Linked DNA regions of Neodiprion lecontei. The protein of the gene in region 2 interacts with the protein of the main gene of each other region in a pairwise test. Links are inferred from orthologs where the notes say so. Each region holds a gene or a part of one and is shown on either strand. Other genes may lie near its edges. The genes, in order: beta-arrestin-1 and protein deltex.

The links.
Region 1: the proteins of protein deltex (region 2) and beta-arrestin-1 interact in a two-hybrid assay, tested with the Drosophila melanogaster proteins (2 studies listed by BioGRID). The link is inferred for Neodiprion lecontei from reciprocal best matches to the Drosophila melanogaster genes dx and krz.

The regions. Positions count from the first base shown.
Region 1 is NC_060263.1:23,041,277-23,046,291, forward strand, and holds the start of beta-arrestin-1, read right to left. Parts: upstream 3,211-5,015; 5' UTR 2,650-3,210; intron 1-2,649.
Region 2 is NC_060264.1:2,161,880-2,168,126, forward strand, and holds protein deltex, read right to left. Parts: upstream 4,514-6,247; 5' UTR 4,210-4,513; coding exon 4,058-4,209; intron 3,580-4,057; coding exon 3,372-3,579; intron 3,266-3,371; coding exon 2,996-3,265; intron 2,848-2,995; coding exon 2,559-2,847; intron 2,485-2,558; coding exon 2,163-2,484; intron 2,081-2,162; coding exon 1,726-2,080; 3' UTR 1,721-1,725; exon of another isoform or gene 1,099-1,720; intron 1,022-1,098; 3' UTR 784-1,021; downstream 1-783. Other genes in the region: ubiquitin carboxyl-terminal hydrolase 30 homolog, read left to right, coding at 5,520-5,619, 5,804-5,962, 6,034-6,200.

The DNA.
Region 1 (5,015 bases), on a different chromosome or scaffold from region 2:
TGTAATCAGTTTGCCAAAGATAGTGACTAGTAACAATCCGTTGGATCGGGAGGATAAGGTTGAAGTTGAAAGTTTCGAGAAAAAATTAATATTTCGCAACTTTAGAATGAATAATTGAAGAAGTTGAGTTTGCCAAATATGCGAGTATGTTGTGTGTGCTTATTACGGTTTACTGAATTTCGGAAAATCCGTAATAACAATTTTTTAGAATAATGAATCGTCATATCTCAACATTAGAAAATTCAGGCTGATTCCGGAAAAAGATTTGAGAATGTTCTGCTGTTCCGTTAGAGATTTTCGATAACAATACGACACAGAAAAGCAATCGAAGGGAAAGTAGTCTACGGTTATTCGAGATATGGAATTTCCCATAACTTACGTGTCTACATACTTGTTACGATAATCATACTCGCATTTGATACGGTATCCAAAATACGAACTATTATCATTACTTTATGAATTTCCGCTGTCCATTATGCTGCTACTGTATATTGAATGATGACAAAAGTCTACAGCCCACGATTTGTTTCGTAAATCTACATTTGTGTGTACACAGGTATAAAGAGACGACAATACCTATAACCTGTCATGATGATGAGGAATTGAGCAATTCAAATTAATAAGGTTCGTTGTCGAAAGAAACGTTTATTTAGAAATTTTAGGATTGTTTGAAATTCACCAATTTCAAACCGCAATAAAGCAAATCACGGTCATATTTTTTAATATCAACTACTTCCAACTAATTCTGAATTCGCATTGTAGTGAAACGCTACGAACTTCCACCTCTTTCAAGTTAAGGAAGAATTTGATGCGTGCATTCCCAATTATGCTCAGTTGACTCACAATATCGGTTAAGTCAGCTTTAACCGGCGCCAAGGAATTTTGCCACGCCGTGAGAGTTGTACGAATTATGTACGAGTTGTTGCTATGAGATGCTTTCAACTATTCAATAGACTTCATTCTACGACGGGCTCATTTCATTCAAAAGACTATATTTTCTACAAAGGCAATAAAACAGATCATTTTTACACTACTCAACTCGATATTGCCATTTTTTGATCATAATCAATATCGCTAAAATATCGTATTGTATTGTAATTTGTGAAAAGCGAAAGTCTTCTAAATATAACGAACCATCGTAGAGTGAAATCGAATATAGATCTATTATATTCTTAGCCATTTCGAAGCGATTTGAAACGAAGCATTGATATCCACGCTGTTGTTAATGTTTCCAACATTTTATATTTTTATATTTTTCATGAAATCTTCGTAGCTTGCAAATATGATAATTTGACAAACAGTAAATGTGCGATTATCTCGGAGTAAACTTAATAAAAATATTTCGAATTATGGGCAACCAACCACATTAAGTAACGCCTAATGAGGTTTCCGAAGAAACATGTAAACGTTAAGAAAATGTTCGCACAGTACCGTAGGCTCCGAATTTTCCCACGGTACGAAGTATTTCGGCTATGTGAATTCAGTTATAACCGATCTCAAACACATCCTACACTTTCTTAACGGATGAATGAGGATGTTACGTGAAGCATTCTAACACTCGCTTCGTGCATTTCGAGTAAGTAGTAGCAGCTCTATGGATTTCGTGGGAAGTTCCCACGTTATGCATCTAACAGGTTGGGGTAGGTCAAGTCTTTGTATACCTTTTTTTACACCACTTTTGATTCCTTCGACTAATTTCTCATACAATAGAAGAATTTTTCTACCTCTTCACTTTTCCCTCTTGTTTCTTTATATTTCTGTCGACGTTTTCATTTTCTTATCAGCGGTAAAGTTCATTACTCACGTAGGTTGTGCGATGACTGTTTTTGTTAAACATAACCGCGATGCATTATAATAGTAATAATATCGGTATCAATAATAATAACAACGACAACAACAACAACAATAATAATAACAATAATAATAAAGTTAAGATCCTCACTGTCAGCAAGATTTAAGTGTTTCACTTTGTTTCCGGCAGCGTTGGAAAAAAAGACATTACTATTTGTCATCAGGTGCGATCTAATCAGCCTTTTCCTCAAACTAAACTGGTGGTTGTGATAAAAGGAAACCTACGTCATTCCGATTCTTGGAATTCCGAAGCTTCGACAGATTTATTTGTTGATGCGAAACGACACCTCCTTGAAAGTGTTAATTAAAATCTCGCGCGCAATTGGATATAAATTTCGAAATTAATTATTCGGTCCCGCCACGCCTCCTAGAGCATATGTATAGTATTTGTTTAATAACCCTCGACCGTCCTAAGAGGCCGTATTGAGTAACGTAGGGTAGGACGAGTACTATTCGCGGGCGATAATCACAAAGTTGAAAAAAATTCCGAGAATTCTGACAGCGCATTTCTGGCGTCTGACGTCGTCGGTCGAGGGATCATGGGGACGAGGAAACTGAAAGAAACGAGTAAAAAATCACAACGAAACGCGGCGACGTACATACATTCATAGTATTCATACGTCAAACGTTGTTTGCCCGTCACTCAGTTGTTACCAAGAACAGCATGCAGGCGTAGATAGACCTCGATGAAAATCGTGTATAAAATAAATTTGTAAAAAGGTATAAAAAAAAAAAAGTATCTATGTACCTAAACGATAAACGTAGTGAAACAAAAATAGAGCGAGGGAGAGGACTCACCTAACTTGTCCTAGAGACCCCGTAGTTCCACACCCTTTTGCGATCGGCAATGAAAATTCATAGGCGAACGGCACCACAGTTTCAACACTCGATGAACTCACACTGCACCGGCATCGGGTTTATTGTAAAAAAAAAAAAAAAAATACAACTAATCGATACGTCGAACGGTTACAAAACTACGCGTTTGTATGTTTCAAACACAAAACGTACGTAGAGTACGGAAGGTACGATATCAACCAGCGAAGATACACATCCCGACTCTGATTACTGTGAACAAGTGATCTCGATTCCTCGATACGTCACGTCCGCGCCGTAGATGCTGGCGCCACAGGATAGATTTTACATAACCTTGTCGTGAAAAAAAAAAAAGACTCGCTTCGCGACAACCGCCGCAGATTAATATGACTTTGAAGCTGTGCGAGATCTTATTTTTCTCTCTGATATATCGGAACGAGCAAGACAGCGTCTCGGAGCACGGCGGATATGTTCTCTCGCGTCGGTTTATTACTGTCAAAGTGTCGACTGACCTAACCTCTCCCTCCCAAGTCCCGCTCGAGCCACCGCTCAAGTCGAATATCGACCGCAACCCCCTCCCTCCGCCCTCCGGCCGCTCCCCCCGCCGTCAAGTGACTAACTTCGTTCGCAACGTATTTGCCGCGACGCCAGTTGCGTGCTGGCCGATGCTGATGCCTTGTGCATCGCCTTGTGTGCGTCTGGTATGCGTAACTCGTAACGTGATACATGCGCCCTGGCTGACTCGCTACGCGCGCTGACCCGTTCTTTGTAACCGCTTGCACGAGCCGCCGATGGTCACGGACGAAAGAAAACATACGTCTACTTACTTTACGAAAGCTCTAATTTGATGTCAATAACTGTTATTTGATCTGTAAATTATTTTTACTGTACACTTCTTTGTCTATAAAAGTTATGAGAATCGATATTCAGCGCATGAATTCTTTGTTCATCGTTAATTTATTATTTACCCCTTGTGTATAATATAATGTCACTAAATAAGGATTTTCTCAGTGGAGATACTGTTTGCCTTATGTGTGCATTTGTGCACTAGTACACAGTCGTTATCTTAGGTTTCTGGTGCAGTTATACTACATGCAGTTTTTACATACACCATGGACATAGAGCGTGGATCACGCATACGGCGCTGACGTGTCCGGAAATGGGAGAGAGACAGAGCTATACCAGTGTATAGTAGAGATCAGTGATACCAACATCTCTTCCTATACTAACTGGATACCGTGTTATTTTCTTTGTTGCGTGTAGTCAATTTATCCATTACCGCGGGTAATTCAAATAATCATCGAAAATATATTTTGTGGGAAACCGTGGAAATTGCTTTAAAAGGAAATAGTATTCGAGGGATTCTCTATTTCAAATATTGTGCTGAAGTTTTAATCGTACTTACTACCAAATTTACATGAGAAAATAAAAAATATGAAATATACGCGGACGACATAACTAGGTTGACTGAAGAACATATCAGTTATATCATCATGGTACTGAAGAATATTTCTTCAGTCAAATTATTCTTGTTACAGATTGTCAAACTATGTCGATGTATCGTTTCACAATTTGTAACAAGAATGATCAATAAAAAAATAATGGACCTTTGACCAGACTTCTAAATTTCATTCACAATTGAAGTTATGTAAATGTAAACTGTCTCTATTTCGGACGTCCATTTGGCACAGTTGTAGACATACTCCATAATTCTGCACTCTAAATTGATTAATTGGATACAATTCCAAAGGCGAGTGTTTCAAATGGATGTTGCTAAACTTCGTTCGAAATCCTGCTAGCTATTAATAGATTGAAATTGGATCACTTATCAAAGTTTAGTCAGGATAATTGATCGAAAGCATCCTATCGGGGGATTCCTTACTTGTAGAAATTAATGATTCTGGAAATGACTACGAAGTCTAGTTTTGTTCTGAATATTCCTCTCCACGGCAATTATCTAGTGAATATCTCTTTTACGAATAAGAGCCTGCACATTGGGATGTTTTCGAGTAAATAAAGAAATATCCTAGCAGGGTACAGCTTTTCTATTTGGTTTGCTTGTAGCTACGTTACATATGGTTACAGAACATGGATCTTTGCTGCTTATGTGGATATATAGCTTGGAGACTTAATTAATGCGATACTTCTCTGTGATATCGAGATCGGATATTTTTCCAATAAGGAATTTTTCATTCATGATTTCAAGTTTCTGTAAAAATCTTGACTGCAGAAAGAAATTAGCTCCTTAAAATGGCGGTGTAATAACAAGAGAATCGAAACTAATGTTATTAGCATGATATTCGTAATTAGAAAATACCCATGATGCTTCATTTCACCCGCGACTAAACCGA
Region 2 (6,247 bases):
ACACTCTCCCCACACACGAGTGATTCTTTACTTGTGTGTCGCAACAATTTCGCGCCTAGCGGAAACCGCTGTCACACGGAGACGGCTCGGTTTTGCCTCGCGACTCGATATTATTTTCTGACAATTTTAGGTGCAGAGTCACATTGATCACAATGATTCACACCAACTAAAAACCAATCACGTTTCAATGCTTTAATCTGAGAGACATTCAGAGAAATTTCCGAATATTATCATATTAGAATTTCATCGTTTACAGGGTTCGTTTAAATCAGAAAAATCAATCCTCGGCCATCTTGAGCATATCTGGAGTCCCCCTGATCACAATGTGATAGAGTTGGCCTTACTTCACACCGTTGGGCGATCATTTTAAATGATGTTATGGAGACATAATCAATTGTCAACATTCTGCCATTTCTTTTTTTTTTCTCACTCCCTGACTTTTGTAATAATTAACTCACTGGTAATTTATATACGCATGACTTGCAAACGAACATCGCCACGTATGTTTGCCGAGTTGCCGCAGTTCTCGGCGCCAAGAAATTTGAATTATACCACGGATTACCAAAAAGTGTCCAAGTCGTTTCGATATCCTTCACGAGTTTGGGCCGATTAAAATATGTATTTTTTAAATTTCAACTCAGAATTCAAGCTCATAATAATACTCCCGATAATGCGTATCTGTGTTGGCATATATCATCTGGCTATACTGATACCAAAAAACGCTACTGGAGTATACCATAAAGAATTGAGTATCCCAAATCATTAGATATAGCATGAATGTACTTGTTTTTGTATCTGCTTTGAATTCTGCGGGATTTGCACTATTCGGAGAATTCTCAGACTTTCCAAAGCTTTGGGTCCCTTCTCTGATTGTGATTAAGTAGACCCTGGCCGTCTATCTGCCAACCTGACTGAAGTATCTGTCAGTATGTTGAAATTTGTGCAATATCTGCTAGTGTCCAAACACGGCACTCGCAAGGTACATACAGGAAGAACGAAAAAGGTTGGTTATTGGTTGAATCTGAAATTAGTTAAATTACAATCTGATGAGAAAGTGTAATTTGTATATTTTATACTAATTGTTATATTTATTTAATATATTTCTATCATAAATATATCTATATATCTATTTTCATTAATACCATTTTGATGGAGTATAAATCTACGTATATGTATATAGTATATAATATTTTTCTGGAAGCACGGATCACCATTCTCCTCATAGTATTTTGTTCCATTTAAAATTTAACGCAAGGTAAATTAACATTTCGAGATTATAGCAGACTAAAAACAACCGCACGAATATAATGCTGCAGATCCATTTAACTACACAAAATTTGAGAAATATATTTCAAAAAACTTGAAAAAAAATGTGCGGAATACACACACACACACATGCTAACGCACACGCACACACGCACACGCTCTCACGCTTATATGTAAGTATAATATAAAGCTATTAATATTGAATTGCAAATTAAAGCTATTACGCCAACGATAATTATTGTATAATACGTAAGGCATTGTTGAGACCATCTTGCATGTCCCAAATAGTATTAATATTCGCCAGAATTTATTCACCACGAAAAAAAATTGATTTCTTGTTTGGCAGACTGTTTCCTCTTGTTCAGTCAGTCTTTTCTCGTCAGTTTAACTGCACAGCTGCTCAGCCCAACCCTGATCTAAAGAATATTTTCGCAAAGCGAAAACGTCGAAATACCTGAGTCAATGAAGCTCTTGGTAGAAACCAGTCACTGATTGGCCATCGGAAACTCCTTGTGCCGCGAGTTCCGCGAGCGTTCGTTCCAAGTATGAAGCATCGGGATACCCATGTCCCAAGGTCGACGGACCTAACTCAGTTTTATGATGAATTTCGTTCCAGGTAACGACATCTTCTCGGCCCGTAGTCACTGACCGTCCAACGGTGAAGATCAACCTTCTCTCGAAAGCGATTTGCAGTAGTCTTAGGACTTTTCTGCCTGTGTCGTTGTCGGGGAGATAACAAACTCGAGGAAAGCCAACTGCGTAGTATGTTTGGCCAGGATTTGGGTGCTCAGGACCCTGAATTCCTGATGGAATGCTAGAAACCAACAAGAAACGCGTAAAATCGAGAAAACCGAATGAAATCAAGTCAGTTTTGCGAGAATGTTACGCCTACTTACTCGTAAGTTATTTGAATTGTGTTCGTGTTCGGGAATCCAGGAAGAGACCGCGGTATTCTGGTCCAATTCATTGTCCCTGGAGGTTGGTTTCCTCTCTTTTCTCCATATATCAATCGGCACACTGGACACTGTATGTACATTGGTTGCTGTTGTGAACTAATCATTGCGTTTAGACACGCTAGGTGTAACCTGTGTCTGCAGCGAGTCAACTCGACTGTCAGAGGCTCAGGAGAGCCCAAACAAACAGGACACGAATCAGCACCGGCACTTTCAACCACCCTTACATACTGAGATATGACATCAGGAGCTTCGACTACAACGCCTGAAACGAATGATTGGCCTTAATGTTGGATGTACTCTCTTTCTTGCAATATGTTGAGTAAGCTTCTTGCTCACCAATAACTGAATCCTTGAAGGCATCGTCACTCCCTACACTGCTGTCTAATAAATCAACATAATTTTCGTGACTGAGATAGGTGGATACTGTATCAACGCTAGGACGCCGACCACTTTTGGTGCTGCTTGAATCAATGTCTAGTAAATTGGAATCCCGTGTCTTGCGTTTTTGAACTGGTTCTGTAGTGCTTTCTACTGGCACGTTTTCCGCATGCTTATTACCGAAAATATTCAAGTTATTCAATATCACACGAGCGATGTTTGTTGGTCCTGTATCGCCATGTTTTCCCTAAAAAAATGTTATGCTTGAAATCATTATAGGTTCTGATCAAGTTTTGACTCTAGTATTGATGTAAGCTTTCAAAGGTTCTTCTCAAACCCATTTTATGAGATGATTCAACTACTTTACTAATCAATCATCGAGCACTTTGCATTACCTTCTTGCTACTCTTCTTTCCAGTCCCATTGGGTAATTTCTTATGTGTTGGTTTAGCATGTGGATTTTTGACAGTTCCATTTAGTCCTCTTCTTCCAGTAGTCGGTGGCAATTCCTCAAGCGCAACTTTCACTAAAGGATACGGTGCCTGCTGTATACGTCTGATCGGGCGTACATAACCTGTGCAACATCTAACTTGAGTAAGGTTGCAAAAATTTATTATGTAAGGAAAGCCGAGGTATGTTTTGGAAACGTCAATTGTTTTGTCACCCTGGAAAAATCAAAAGGTAATAAATTAATTAAGAGAAATATTGCTCTTATACGATTTATAAATATTCGAACCAGAAAAGTTACATCTTAGAATTTTTTAAACGCACCCGTGCCCATGCTTCCTCTATGAGGCACTGGACCTCCATGTCGTAAGTGTGCCAATCGTCAGTGTCACCGACCCATTCCCACTTGGCACCTTTTCCTGCCGGTGATCCAGGCAAGTAAAATTTTCTCCTAACGTTATGAGTTTCCGTGCCATCGTCACTGCACTGCGTCTTTGTCCTCAGATTGATGTAGTATCTGATACAGACGAAACTGTCGTTTTTTTTCATAACAGATGGAAAAATACACCGAAAACTAATCAAGTCCTAGCAAGAAGACCTTGCAATACCCAATAAGCAATACTGAGAAGAATACAAGTGTGTACGCAGAAATATGTGGCTATTTTTCAGGGAACGAAATTCTCAAGCTTGCTATTATTAAATCCCAAGCATCGTGGAACCAATCGAGCTGAAATATTTAGACTATTCAATAATTTATATCATCTTCTCTTGGTAACTCAACGAAGGAAGAATTCAACTTTCCAATTTTCAATAGAGAATCGTTCCAAGTAGCATCTAATGGTGGGGTAAGATCGGGTCAGTTTTAATCTTTTACGGTAAATACGATTTTAGATAAAATATGAATATCAGGGTACGATTAAAATACAAAGCAAGCTGCATGGTAAAAAAAAATGACAGAGCTCATAGAAATGATCCATTGCCATTTTAGTGTAAATTTTATTTTCTCATACCTGTCGAGGCTCGGATCTGCGTCGTTCAAGAATACCCTGGTAAGTTTTTTGCAATGGGCTCTCTCCAGGTGCTGGGAAACCGCCGGACTGTACGGCCTCCATCTAGCTTGTCGATTTTCCCATTCCCACACGACGACTGCGTGCCCACTCATCTTCCTCGATCCTTCAGGTTCGAGTGAAGTGGGTGAAGATGAGAATGGTGTAAATAGAACGGTCAACGGTCAAGGCCGCTCTCACAGGACGCTGAGCGCCGCGAAAGATGAACTGGGACGAACGTGGCGATCAACTCGGTTCGACGTGACCGTGGGAACATTTTTCGAATTCATACAGCTCCGCCCGCACACCGTAGAGAGTATCGGTGTTGTCTGTCCTCCTCCCCTCCGCCCCTCTCCACGATCCTTTTGTATACGTCTGCGTAACGAGAACGTAAATATTGGAGTTTCAGTTTACTCCGTATTAGCCGACGGGTTATTCGCTAAGTAACGGCGATCCGTTTTCTCGCTCTGTTTCATTTACCCTTCGATGACTGAACAATCGACTTGAAATCACCGGAGTCGGCACAGAATTAAAAGAGAAAAGGATGGACGCTGCTTCCTCCAAGCGCACTTGTCACTTCCCAGCCTTCCCAGCATCCGACTCCCCTAGCCAGGCTTAACGCCGAGGAGAGAATTTACTACAATTTTATAGTTCTCACTGTTTTTCACTTGAGAATTGCAATGCACGTTATACGATGATAAACGTTTCCGTGCACATTTGTCATTGTCAACTATTCCCTTTATCGAATTAGTTGATTACGGTTAACAATCTGATGAATTAAATTCCTGCATTATACGTTACGATTGTATGCATAGTGTTATGCACACATAGGTACACAACGCACATGTATACATTAAACATGGCATAAATGACACCTGTCGACCCTTTTTTCTTTACATTTATCTCGTAAGATTCGAAAGTCAGAATGCAGAGCTCACGTCGTTTTTTTTCTACGAATTCGAGATGATCAAGTGTAACGGCTCTGCGTAATTCATAAATTTACAAAACATGGATAGGGTTCATTGCTCTACATTTTTTTTCCAACGAGCCAAGTATGCGTTTCCGATTCCTGAATTTCTATTCGAAGGGTTGGCAAGGCTGTCATTGCCCATTTGTATTGAGCATTGACCACTTCACCGTTCGTCGGAGACGGCTCTGCACAATTCGGGTCGGACCCGTACTGTGGATTAAAAATACAAGAAAAAATTTTGTAAACAGAGAAGTGGCAAAGTAGCCGTCTCAAATCGTGTCTTAGGCAAATGAACTATGCGGTGAAATGATCGGGCGATGAAGACTTGCTGTAATAATGAAATAACGCAGCTCATTCTCACACGATATATCACAAATAGGTTATAACCGTTTCTGCTGGATATCTAACAATATTTAATATTGTTTCTACACTTCAACTTATAAACTTCTACGCAAAATGGATGTTGAGAAAATTGCTATGGTCGCCGGTGTCGGGTTTGCCCTTGTTATCGGCGCTTTTGTACTTTGGGGACCTTCGCCTAGGCCTAGGCGAAGAGGTAATAGCATACAAGTAGCGATCGACGATTGTCTCCTTTCCTTCACAAGTCTTTCAATTGATGAAGTCATTTTTAATATTATACAGTAATGAACCGTTGCCCGTTTTATCCTAATTACTCAAAAAACTAGCTTGTTTACCTATAATCATTCCTCTTGGAATTTATGTCATTGTCGTTATTCTAGGCCAAATTATTGGACTCACCAATCTAGGATACACTTGTTTCATGAACGCGCTTCTCCAGTCTCTAGCAGCGTGTCCAATGTTTGTCGGCTGGCTTCGGACGCAGCTTGTCAACAATGAAAATGGCCAATTTGCCCGGAGCCTTCTCTCCATTCTAGATAGTAAGCTTGCTCTCGTTTTGAGTACTGCATAAACAATTGTAACAAATATGTAAATGATTTTTATTGTTAAGAGGTAAATGGCTTCTGCGACGAAATGATATATGGAGACGTAACACCAATTGAAATAATAACGTCCCTTGGACCACTATGGATCTTCACACCTGGACACCAAGATGCTCACGAGCTATTCCACGTTGTACTCGGTGCTCTGCAGGCTGAAATGCAGCCACTTAACAGAGTGCGTACAAAGCAAAGAATTTTTTTTTCCTTTTCAGCATAAGGAAT